Ovis aries: one gene and its partners. The protein of the gene in region 1 purifies or fractionates together with the protein of each later gene. This does not show direct contact. Links are inferred from orthologs where the notes say so. Each region holds a gene or a part of one and is shown on either strand. Other genes may lie near its edges.

Evidence for each region. The genes of interacting proteins can lie anywhere in the genome.
Region 2: the proteins of CLGN (region 1) and TCTN2 purify together in Homo sapiens (affinity purification with mass spectrometry; 3 studies listed by BioGRID and IntAct, with this or other methods). This does not show direct contact. The link is inferred for Ovis aries from reciprocal best matches to the Homo sapiens genes CLGN and TCTN2.
Region 3: the proteins of CLGN (region 1) and SLC12A2 purify together in Homo sapiens (co-immunoprecipitation; 3 studies listed by BioGRID and IntAct, with this or other methods). This does not show direct contact. The link is inferred for Ovis aries from reciprocal best matches to the Homo sapiens genes CLGN and SLC12A2.

The regions. Positions count from the first base shown.
Region 1 is NC_056070.1:17,352,844-17,356,821, reverse strand, and holds the start of CLGN (calmegin), read right to left. Parts: upstream 2,804-3,978; 5' UTR 2,680-2,803; intron 1-2,679. UniProt on the Homo sapiens protein: Functions during spermatogenesis as a chaperone for a range of client proteins that are important for sperm adhesion onto the egg zona pellucida and for subsequent penetration of the zona pellucida.
Region 2 is NC_056070.1:52,066,003-52,070,056, reverse strand, and holds the start of TCTN2 (tectonic-2), read left to right. Parts: upstream 1-1,246; 5' UTR 1,247-1,356; coding exon 1,357-1,438; intron 1,439-1,604; coding exon 1,605-1,712; intron 1,713-2,142; coding exon 2,143-2,219; intron 2,220-3,507; coding exon 3,508-3,703; intron 3,704-4,054.
Region 3 is NC_056058.1:23,632,624-23,636,643, forward strand, and holds the start of SLC12A2 (solute carrier family 12 member 2), read right to left. Parts: upstream 2,809-4,020; 5' UTR 2,619-2,808; coding exon 1,893-2,618; intron 1-1,892. UniProt on the Homo sapiens protein: Cation-chloride cotransporter which mediates the electroneutral transport of chloride, potassium and/or sodium ions across the membrane. Plays a vital role in the regulation of ionic balance and cell volume.

The DNA of each region.
Region 1 (3,978 bases):
CTCTCTCCTTCCTTGATTTCCATGATGCTATTCCTGAGTCTTGATTCTCTTCATCTTCTCTGCCACCTTTATGGGCTTTCTCTAATCTCCTGTAAATGACGCTGTTCCTTCAGGTTCTGTCCCCAGGCTTTCTCCTTACATTTCATATACTCTTGGCCTCTACCTCTAAAGACTGCTGCTGCTGCTAAGGCGCGTCAGTTGTGCCTGACTCTGTGTGACCCCACAGACGGCAGCTCACTAGGCTCCCCCGTCCCTGGGATTCTCCAGGCAAGAACACTGGAGTGGGTTGCCATTTCCTTCTCCAATGCATGAAAGTGAAAAGTGAAAGGGAAGTCGCTCAGTCGTGTCCGACTCTTCGCGACCCCATGGACTGCAGCCCACCAGGCTCCTCCACCCATGGGATTTGCCAGGCAAGAGTACTGAAGCGGGGTGCCATTGCCTTCTCCGACCCCTAAAGACTCCCAAATGCTATCCACAGCACAGAAGCCATCACCCTTTAGTTTCTTCTAGGATGTAGCAAAGCCTCCATTAATTTGAGGCTCATCTTTCCACCCAAACCAGTTCTCTAATCTCAATTCCCTTCTTCCATTAACTGCACCTCTGGTCAACCAAATCAGCCATGTTACTCTGTCACTATCTTATGATTATTCTTGCTGATATTCTATACCACTGGTAGTTAAACCTGTTTGGTTGTATATATTATTGAATGTATATATATCCATGCCACAGCCTTAATTTAGGAATCCATGACTTCTGAAAAGCATCAGTAAAGTCCCACTTTGCTTCTTCACTTCCAGCCTTCCCAATCAATCTATCTGCCACCTTCTCTCGAGCATGAATTTTCTAAAGAACAAGTGTACTACCTGTTCATAAAAACGTTCAACAGCTGTCTACAGTTCTCAGTATAAATTCTGCTCTTTTAAGACTCATTTCTTACTCTTGACACTCACCTATTAACACATTCGTGCTTTCTATCTGCTATTATAACTGAGATGCTTCTGGTATTCAGTTTTAATGGCTGACTGAGGACTCACCAGCACGACTAAGCCTCAAAAGTACTGTTGGAAAAAATCACTAAAGTTTTAGTTGTCATGTAACTTCAGGAGCTCAACTACAAAGTGATATGATAGAAAGTACACTGAGTTTGGCACCACCATACCAAGTTTCATATTCTATTACTAAAAAGGAAAGGGTTAAAATTGTTCTAAACCTCCCCCCTACCCCATCTATCAAGTGAAAGGATTAAGCTGGATGATCTTAATGTCTATTAAAGCTAGCAATTCTAGCTTTCCAGTTAAGAGCACTAAAACTTATTAGGAACAAGCAATAAGGTTAATTTACAGCACTTGACAACCCACTCCAGTATTCTCGCCTGGAGAATCCCATGGACAGAGGAGCCTGGCGGGCTATAGTCCATCGGGTCCCAGAGTCCATCCAACACGGCTGAAGTGACTAAGCACAGCACGGTTCAGTTTCTGCGGATCCATTAACATACACCATCCATACACAATAACCAACTTTATCAACTAGATGAGGGCTATCTTCGATGGATTTACCTATAAGCTCTCAATGTGACTGGAAGACCAAACCAATGGCACGTGAAGACAAAACTGTAAACTTAAAAGAAGTCAAACAATTGCCCAAAGGAAGGTTACCTTCAGTAAAAGACCTAGAGTGACCTAAGAATTTAAAAGCAAACAAACTCGCAAGGCTAGATCAAGGTTTTGATGTCTTTAAAGCATCAAAAAGTCTCCATACAAACTAACTTTCCTAATTCGAGAGTTCCTCCCACGGCCACTCTCCAATGATCTGCTTTCTCCCTTCTGGACGTCGTTGCCATTTGCTTATATATCCAAAGCAAACGCCTCGGATTCCTGTTGCTCCGGCAGGTGCTATAAATAAAATCAGCTAAAGGCTCTGATCGTAAACAGCCGACGGCGATAATGAGTCTCGAGTCATTACGGCTTCGTGGGATTCATCCCGACGCTCTCCCTCCCTCCCCAGCGGCGCGCACCGGGCTCCAGGCGGCGCGTCGAGGGAGCGGCCGGGAGTCGCGGGCCACCAGCGCCGCGAGGTCGGGTCCCTCCGCCTCTACAGCGGCGGGGAGGGCGTGAACTGAGCCTAGCTGGGTTTCACTCGCCTGTCGGTGCGAAGCAGCGGGCGGAGAGAGCAGCGCTGAAGCGAGACCGGCCCCCTCTCCATCCCTCGGGAGCGCGCCCCGGGGCTCGAGCGTGGAACGGGGCTGAGATGGCAACCGCTGGAGTAACGGACTCGGCCCCCGGGGCCTCTGAACCTCGGGGACGGGCCGGGCTGACGGGCCACCTGGCCTTCCCCGCGCCAGCCCCAGCGCCGCAGGTGGCCGTGGACACAGAAGTGCCGGGCGTCCCAACCGACCCCGAGGGGGCATCTCCCCAGCGCCGCCCGCCCGGGCCGGCCTCCCCGCCCCCGAGGCCCGGAGGGCCCGCCCGAGAACCTCTCCCGGACGCGGACGCTGGCGCGTCCCCATCCCCAAACTCAACACCCACCTCCCCACGGGGCCCCGCCGGGTCCGCCGGGCGGACGCCCAAGAAAGGGGCGCAGCAGGAACCCCCGCCCAGCGGGGGAGAGCTAGGACTCGGCCTCCTCACCCCCAGCTGGAGCGCAGAGGACGCGGAAAGTGACCTACTACTGCCCACGCACCTGTCTCGCGGGCCCGTTTTCGGGAGTGGCAGCTCAGGTGTCCGAGCCGCTGCCACTTGCTCCCCGCGTCTCCCCTAGCTCAGTCCAGCCGCCGGCCGCGCAGCAGCGACTGCTAACCGCGCGTGCGCGTGCGGCCGCGGGCGGGGAGGAGGCGGCGGCCACAGGCGCGTGCTGCGCGCACCTGCACCGAGGGCCTCAACCGCCGCGGAGGCACCTTCCCAACCACGCGCCGCGCGGCCCCGCCAGCCGGTGGTTGCGTGCATCCGGCTCCTCGGATGGCCTGGGAGGAATTCCTCGCTATCCATCCGGAGGCCCTTCCCTCCCGCAGAGCGCCTGCTCTCTGCAAGCAGTGAGCTTCTACCTCCTAAAGCACATAATTGGGCCCTGAATTTTGAGTAAATCACATTTTAACAGCGTCGAGTTAGTACCCCAGGCCTTCCCTGGGGTTCTAGACGTTCTGATGAGAGGTCATTGTGGTCAACAGGGAGCTATTCTTCCCTGAAAGTGTATGATATATTAAATATTAACATAATAAATAGTACTACATGGTTTCTTTTTGAAATGCTACTGATAAGAATTGTTAACCTTTCGTTGTGTTTCAGTTCAGTCGCTCAGTCGTGTCCGACTCTTTGCGACCCCATGAATTGCAGCTCTCCAGGCCTCCCTGTCCATCACCAACTCCCGGAGTTCACTCAGACTCACATCCATCGAGTCAGTGACGCCATCCAGCCATCTCATCCTCTGTCGTCCCCTTTTCCTCCTGCCCCCAATCCCTCCCAGCATCAGAGTCTTTTCCAATGAGTCAACTCTTCGCATGAGGTGGCCAAAGTACTGGAGTTTACTGAGCTCTAAACGGTTTCATTATACATTCATTATGTTATTGAACGTCCCAACAACCTTGGTGAAAAAAACTGAAGATAGTTATTTGCCTTTGGCTTGAAGTATTAATAAATAGTGGAAATGGGGTTCAAATCTTTTCCAGAGCCTGTCATTTTAACTCACACTAAAAGTTAAAATATAGCATAAACATAGTAGTGAATCACAACTTTCTTTGCCCCATAGATATTGGATCATACATCCCTTACTGCTTATTCTTGATAGTAAATTTTGACTTTGATTTTGGTATTATCATGCTTTCAATTTTATTGTAATAATAAAATACTTAACTTGTGATATCTCTGTTAAGAGTCTCAGATTAAGGGAATTGATGGAGCTCCATGCATAAAATGTTATTACTGGCTAGATATCAAGATCACTGAACATTTCTCACACAGCATCCGTGATAAGGCCACTATATCT
Region 2 (4,054 bases), about 35 Mb from region 1:
GTTGTGTTTATGGTTTATTTTGTATAAATTTTTATAATAAAATAATTAAAATTTTCATATTTCCCTGAGTTATTTCTTCTTACTGGTTATTTCATGCTCATTCATCTTCAACTGTGTACTTTTTAACTGGGTTTGTTCACATGTCAATTTTTTATTCAACTCTAAAGAACTTTAATTTCAATCTTGCTAAAACTATACACAAAAATATTGTTACAAATACTATACAACTATAGATTGGTATGAAGTTTTTAATAGAAGATTTTTTATGCACCGTACATGGATTCTGCCCGTGAATTGGTTTACCGCTCATCTAATAGCTAACAAAATGAGTGAACATTTATTGAGTACTTACTGTACATCAGGCATTAGGCTAAGCTTATTAGGTGTGTTGCCTCACTTCTCACACAACCCTATTTGGGAGAGACTATTACCTCCTTTAAAGATGAGGGGGCGGAAATAAAGCTGAGGAAACCTAAGTTTAGAGAGGTTAAGTGACTTTCCTAAGATCACTTAACATGAAGGTGAAATTCAAACCATGCAGTCCAACCTCAGACCCTGCACCTTTAAGTCACTGAGCTATGATAACGCTTGTGATCCTTTGAGGCTGCTGACATAAGAAAAATGAATTTTTTTTTTCCCCAGGCAGAATTTTGGTAATTTTGCATCTGTTCTAATGGTGCTAAAACTTCGTGTGTGTAGTTTTGAGAAGACCTACTTTCAGAGATCTGAGAGCTCTATGTGGTGGTTGTTCAGTCGCTAACTCCTGTCCCACTCTGCAACCCCACGGACTGCAGCACGCCAGGCTTCCCTATCCTTCACTGTCTCACTCTGTGTGGTAGAAACAGACAAAACCTCTGAAAAACGGAGAATAATAAAAACAATACAACAGAACAATTACAGCGCTGCAACTTCACCCCCTTTTTGTCCCTCCCCCCAAATTCTCATAAAAAATCAAGTTTAAAAGTTGCTTGTTTAGAACCCAGAGCCTGCGGCCTCGCATATGCATTAACTCCAGAATGACTGAATTAACTCCATGTTGGAGAAATTCGGGGTTTTAAACTAGACGCGGACTCCTACTTTTTCGTGATACTTTACATGGAGTGATGCCCCTAGAAGGACCTAAGGCCTGTGGCAGGGCTAGGCTGCTGCGGATGGGTTTGAGGGCGGGCTCTCTCTGCTCGTGATTGGTCCAATCACGGCTCGCCTTTCGTCAGACCGGCGGCCGATTGGTGGTTGCCATAGCTCCAGGCGTTCGCTTGACAAGATGGTGGCGGCCAGGCCTCCCGGGCAGTGCTTCCGAGTCCCCGCGCTTCCAGTCTTCTAAGGCGGGCGCAGCCTTGTTGTGCAGGCCCAGGCATGCGTTTGTTGCCGCCGGTCCCTTTGCTTTTGGGACTCCTCCTTCTGCAAGGCGTCTTGAGGCCGCTAAGGGGAGATCTGGGTGTGTAAGGCGGGGCAGGGGCCTGCAAGACGGGGATGAGGGAGAGGACGATTCTTGAGGCCAAATCTGGGACTGCCGCCAGAGCTGCGGAAGACACCGCAAAGAAAGCCATCACCCAGCGGTTCTGCAACTATTAACTCCTCCTTGTCCCTTTCTTCCCGCCTAGTTTTCATTCCTTCTGTCATCCGCATGTCCGGCCCTGTGGTCAGCGCGTCTCTGGTCGGAGGCACCGAGGATGTGACTGTGTCCCTGACCCAGCTGCGGGACGAGATGGGTAAAGAGCCTGTGGGGAGGGAGGAGGTTGGGCCAGCTTCAGGCCGCCCAAGAAGCCTGGCCAGGTGGCATCCTCTGAGTCCCTTGGAGCTGTCCCCTGCAAAGTCGGGATGGGGGCTGCTGTGGACCAGAGGACCAACAGACAGGATGAGTAAAAGAAAGCTTGAAATTACAAGTTAGCATTCACTGAGCTCTCCCATGTACTTAAATACATCACCTCATTTTCCTAATAAGAACAGTAATGCCTTTTAGTTCCTTTTAACAAATGAAGACACTGAAGTTCAGAGAGGTTGTCACAGGTCGAAAGTCACACAGCTTGCAAAGAGTCCAGTCCTAGGCTTGGAAAGGTGTTCCATCCTAGGAAATCTGACTCCAGAGTGCATACCTTGGTGGCTGGGCAATGCTCTGTTGCATTCTAATCTCTCCTGTAGGTTTATTGCCAGTTCCTACCTGTGGCGAGCTGAACAATGAGACAGGAGACTGGAGTTTGACTGTCACCCGGACTGTGGTAAGGCCAGAGGTGGAAACCTTCTCAGTAGCATTTATGGAGTCCTGCATCTGGTGCTCCTGCAGTGTTGCTTTTTTCTCTCTCTCTTTTTGACTGCGCCCAGCAGCTTATAGGGTCTTAGTTCCCTGAGCAGGGATTGATTGAACTTGGACCAAGGCGGTGAAAGCGCCGAGTCCTAACCACTGAACCTCCAGGGAACTTCCCCTGCAGTGTTCTTTTAATCAGACAAGATAGAACTTAGTGCTTGGAACCACCATGAAACTGTGGGCTATCTGATCCTGTAGGCACTCATTCAGCCCAGAGGTTCTTGGACGAGTTTCAAGAAGCTTGTGAGGGAATTCCCTGGTGGTCCCATGGTTAGAACAACATGCTGTCGCTGCCAAGGGCCCAGGTTCATTCCCAGGTTGGGGAACTAAGACCTCAAAAACTGCATGGCACAGGCCAAAAAAAAAAAAAAAAAAGCTGTGAACTCTCTAAAATTGTGTATAAAGTTATGTGTGTGTGCATTTTTTTCTGATGAGAGGCTTTCCAGCTTCTGTCAGATTATCAAATGAACCTGTGACTCAGAAGAGCTTCATGAATTGCTGGTCTCACCCAACTCTGGGCTTATGTGTAAGGACACTCAAGCCTGGAGAAATGAAATATTTTCCACTTAATAGATACTTCATAGAGTGCCTAGTATCTGCAAAACATCAACTCCGAACATAAAAGAGACAGACAGACTTTGCTTGCACCCTAGGAACCAGGGCCTGTTCCATGGACTTTTAGTTGTGTGTATTTAATCTTCTGCCAGTAGGATAATAAAGGTGCCAGACAAATATCTTTATCAGACCTGTGTTCAGCTTTCTCTAAACAGCCAAAGGGCTTTCCAGGTGGCTCAGTGGTAAAGAATCCACCTGCCAACGCAGGAGACCTGGGCTCAGTCCCTGGGTCGGGAAGATCCCCTAGAGAAGGAAATGGCAACCCACTCTAGTATTCTTGCCTGGAGAATCCCATGGACAGAGACTCCTGCCGGGCTACAGTCCATGGAGTCACAAAAGTTGGACACGACTTGGTGACCAAACAACAAGCAGCCACAACTTGTTTGCTTGTATATTCAGCTGAGGATTAGGAATCAGGGCCTGTGTACTGCTGTAGGTTTACAGGGTAAAATTGAGCAGAATGATGTCATTGGTCCAGTTTGCCTTTTGTAAAATGAATGGAGGCAGATTGAGCTTACTTAACCTTATGTGTTCTTATAGATGCCATTTGAGTCACCATATAAAGTACAGTGATATTTTCCTTTCAGAATTCTTTGGAAGTGACCGTGAGGTTGAAGAGGGATCTGCAGTCATGTTCCTCTAATGAGACAGATCCCTTCCTGGAGGCCCCGTGTATTGTCCAAACTCTTCTTGTTTCAGCCTTTCGTAATACATCCTGTTTAGCACATCTGCTCATTCATGTGGAAATTTATGCCAACTCCTCTCTGGGCCAAAATGCATCAGGCAAGTAAAGTCTCCGACTATCAAGATGTTCACTGCAGATGTTTGAATACGTGTGTGCCATGCAGTTTGTGTGCTTCGCTCGTGAGTCTGTCTTGCTTTCCTAAACTTATTTTTCTTTTGTTTAATTTTCTTATTTTAACAGTTTCCAGGGAATTCCCTGGTGGTCCAGTGATTTAGGGCTCCTCACTTTGAATTCAAGGGGCATGGGTTCGATCCCTGGTTGGAGAATTAAGATCCCATAAGCCACACAGCATGGCCAAAAAAGAAAATTATTAAGCCCAGGAGGGCTTAATAGTAACTGTACCACTCAGAGCAGCAACTTTTTTTTCTTTTAAAAAATATGCTTAAATA
Region 3 (4,020 bases), on another chromosome or scaffold:
CTATGAAGGACCAATATAAGACTGAAATGGTAACTACACTGGCCATTATTTTGCTGGTACTTAACAAGGGCCTTTGTGTACATTTTTTTTCTCTAATCTTCAAAAGAACTCTGAAAGATGAGGAAGCTGAGGCTGACAGGCCAGGTGACTTCTTCAACAACTGCGCATCTAAACCATGCCGGTGTTCTTTCTCATACATTGTGAGCGGACCAAAACCACCAAACAAAACCCTGAAATTTGGGGAGAACTAGAAGTGATTTGCTATTTAGAGAATGTAATTTAAAATAACAAAAACTTTCCCAGGAAGCATACAAGATCAAGGTATATAATAATATCCTTCAATAAAAAAAGCCTTTAAGACTTATGCATAATACAGACTGTTTTACTACTCAACTAAGGGCTTTGATGAAATAAATCTGAAAATATCTATACAGTATTTTCAATAATAAAAATGCTCTAAGAAAAGGGAAATTACCAGCTACATAAACCAGCTACATAATCTACTTTATAAGGACTATATAAGGAATTTTGGAAAAAAAAGAATAGATTTGAGAGGAACAACAGAAATATGAATAAAATGTTTTTTAAAAAATGTTTTCTTCTGAAATGACAAAATACCATAACGGAATGAAAGGAGTAGTATTATCCTTAAATGATGCCAGGCTTTTAAACAATCGATACACTGTAAGGGTTGGGATCTCAGTAATTATCTCAATGAATATTATGTCACATTTTCAAACACTGGGGCAGGTGTAATCTTGTATAAAATGACTGTATGAGATCAAATAATCATATCCAAAAGAAATTACATACTTTCTGTATTTCTATTTCAACTTTTCGACACTATGATCACATCAATCTACATGGTACTACTAACTCTTAGCATTCACAAATTCCATCAATGTAGTCATTATACACTTGTAAAGGCAGACTTCAAGCAATCCAAGTTATAAAAGAAGTTAATTATTAATCAAATCTCAAAGGCATCAATGTCATCTCAAAAGAACGATTTTGTACCCTGAAGAAATAAAAAGTCTTATGGGGTCATAAAAAATAGAATTACAGAAATCAATAGTTTATAGGGATGGCTTTCTGATCACAAAGTGTAACTACTTACGCAAGACCCCAAAAGGTCTTTTCTAGATAGACATCCTCCACAGAAAAAACAAGTCTCCTGTTTTTCTCTCCCTCTCCCTCTTTTAGACTCTGCCCACTCCACCCCCCCTTTTGATGTGACCCTCTTCCAAAAGGTTACATTATAAAAGGTGGATTTATGCTATTATCAGGAACAACTTGTCCCAAGATTTAAGATTTCTATGATCTTTGGACATTCAAGATTGCAGGTACAGAGCTTTAATAATTCATAGACCACAAACACGCTGCTAAGGCTTTCCCTTCAAACACTAACGTTCCCACTCTTGGGAGCCCTAATGGGTATACAGAAGCCATACAATACAACCTTTAAAAAAAGGCACGGATGGCAGGTTCTCTCCAATCCCTCCTGAGAGATGTCCTCAACTAAACCTTCCGCACATTCCCTTGTCCGGACCTAAAAGCACAACTGTCATTCAGAGGGATGGTAATTGGTAAGCGTGGGTAAGAAAAAAAAAAAAAAAGGCATAACTAAATATACAACTGGATGGGGAAGGTTGTTAAAAGCAGCCTCTCCTGTATCACGTAACTAGCCTAACCCGCTGCAAACTTTCAAGATATTAAGTTACATTCCTCTGCAATTCCACCCTTGACAGCTGAATCCAGAGATGCCAGCGAGTCATGCACGTCCATTCCCGCCGCCTTACCCGTGGAGAGCCGGCGGCTGTGTCCCGCGGTCAGCGTGAACCAGAGGCTGGGGAGGAGGGGAGGGCTGCAGGGAGAGGGCCGGGAGAGCTCACCTTTTCCAACTCATCGTGGAGCTCCGCCAGGCTGGGCCGGAGCAGCTTCTCGCCTAGCTGCGCTGCCGTGTGCCGATAGTGGTCGATCCTGGGCACGGCGTCCATAGTGTTGTGGCCGAAGGTGCGCAGGTAGTAGGTGTTGGTGTGGGTGTCATAGTAGTAGTGCTGGTGGTGCCCGCTGCCGCCGCCGCCCGAGTGCAGGCTGCTCCCCTCGCTCAGCACCGTGTCCCCGCCGTTGTGGAAGCTCACGTTGGGCCCGTCGCCTCCGATCCCTGCCGCATCAGACACGCTCTCGTCCGCCGACGAAGAGGCAGCCGGGTCCACGAAGTTCACGCGGAAGCGGCCCTTGGCTTCCTCGCTGGCCTTAGCCTGCCCGCTTTCGACGCTGGCTTTCCCGTCCGCGGGGGTCTCCTTGCCTCCCGCTCCAGCGCTAGCCGCCGCCGCCGCCGCCCGCCCGGCATTCTCGGAAACCAGATCCACCTGGAAGCGGCTCTGGCTCGGGGTGGGCCCCAGGGGTCTGCCCAGCCCGTCGCCGCCCGCCGCGGCGCCCTCCCCGCGGACCCCACCACCGCCACGGCTCACAGCTGCAGCATCCTCCGGCGCTGAGGGCACGGCTGTGCCGGGCAGGTCCATCCCGGCGGCGGCCAGCGGGGCGGCTGGAGGCGTCTCCCCAACCCCGGCCAGCCTAGGGGCGCCGGAGGAGGGCGCCGTGGGCCCCGGTTCCATCGCCGCCCGACCCCCGGCGGACCCGGAGAACCTGGCGGACCTCGAGGGCTGCACGCCCTCCGCGCCCCCGGCCGGCGGTGGTAGCGGCCGCAACACCAGGTGGGGGAGTCGCACTCACAGCCGCGCGCTCGCCGCCGCTAGCCCGAGCCGGCACGAACGCCTCCGGCGGCCGAGTCTGCGCGCGAGTGTGGCGGGCGCGGGGCGGGCCCCGCTGTTTAAAGCCTCGGCGGTGCCGCGGCGGTGGCGGCTCCGGCAGCAGCACGCGGGAGGCGGGGCCCGCGGCTCCTCCGCCCCTCAGCCCGCCCACCCGCGGACCGGCAGAGGCGCGCGGCAGAGGTTCCCTCGGTTCCCGGTGGGTCCAGGCTTCTGCGCGGTTCCACGCAGGAATCGCGTCCGGCCAGTCCGAGCCGGGCCTCCGGCAGCACGAGCTGCGTGATCGGGGAGCGGCCGCCAGCCGCCGTCGCCGGGAAGATCTCTGCGCGGCTACCTCCTCTTCCGTCGCCCTCCTCCCACCCTTCCACCTCCTTCCCCCGCCCCACTCTGCGGCGGAGAGGAGCTGGCCCCCGGCCTCCTCCCTTCCTCCCCGCCCCTAGGGCCGCGCGTCAGTGGGCCGGCACCCAGGCCACGGCGGACCAGCTGCGGACGGCGCCCAGCCCGAGCAGGCTGGAGAAGGGGCGCACGGGCCGTGCCTCGGCGCACGCCGATCGCTGATGCTCAGGCGCCAACTGCCACCACGGCGGCGGCTCCGAGGGATGTCGCCCGCTTGCCTTTTTTTTTTTTTTTTAAGCTCTGAGCTCGCAGTACGGGGCTCAGACGGCGAGATCTCGCGAGATGCTGCAGGGCTACTGGGCTGATTACCCTGCGGCGCTTGGTACCCGAGGCGATGCTGGAGCCGCTGACCGCCCAGCGCGCCTGCGGGTGATGCGGCCGGTTTTCTCGTCCATCCCGCAGGTGCTTCCGGAGTTTTAGGCAAGATGCGCCCGGGGCGAGGCCTGCGCGGAGATCTGGCTCGCCGCTACTCCCCCCACTCACTCCAGGCCTGCGCCTTTGGGGAGGAAGGATTTCCTCTGTACTGTCTTTGAGGCGTTTACCCCCAGGCAGCGTTAATTTGCATAATCTGTTACTAATTCTTGTGGTGATGCAGTGGGTGTGTTCACTCTTACAATGACACCTTCATTTTAAAAGCTGTGATGTTTGAAGACGAGAACGGAGCCTAGTTGTGATAGATAACTTATTGTATCAAGACGATTTTTAACTTGAAGTTGTTTTTTTTTTTTTAATGAATATATTGAGAGCAAAAACTAACAGTGGAGCACTTGCTTGGAAGTTTCGACGTGGTTTAGGTTATGAAGAATTCTATTTCAAGTAAAATAGTAAGGTACCTCTCTCCTGTCCAGGCCTA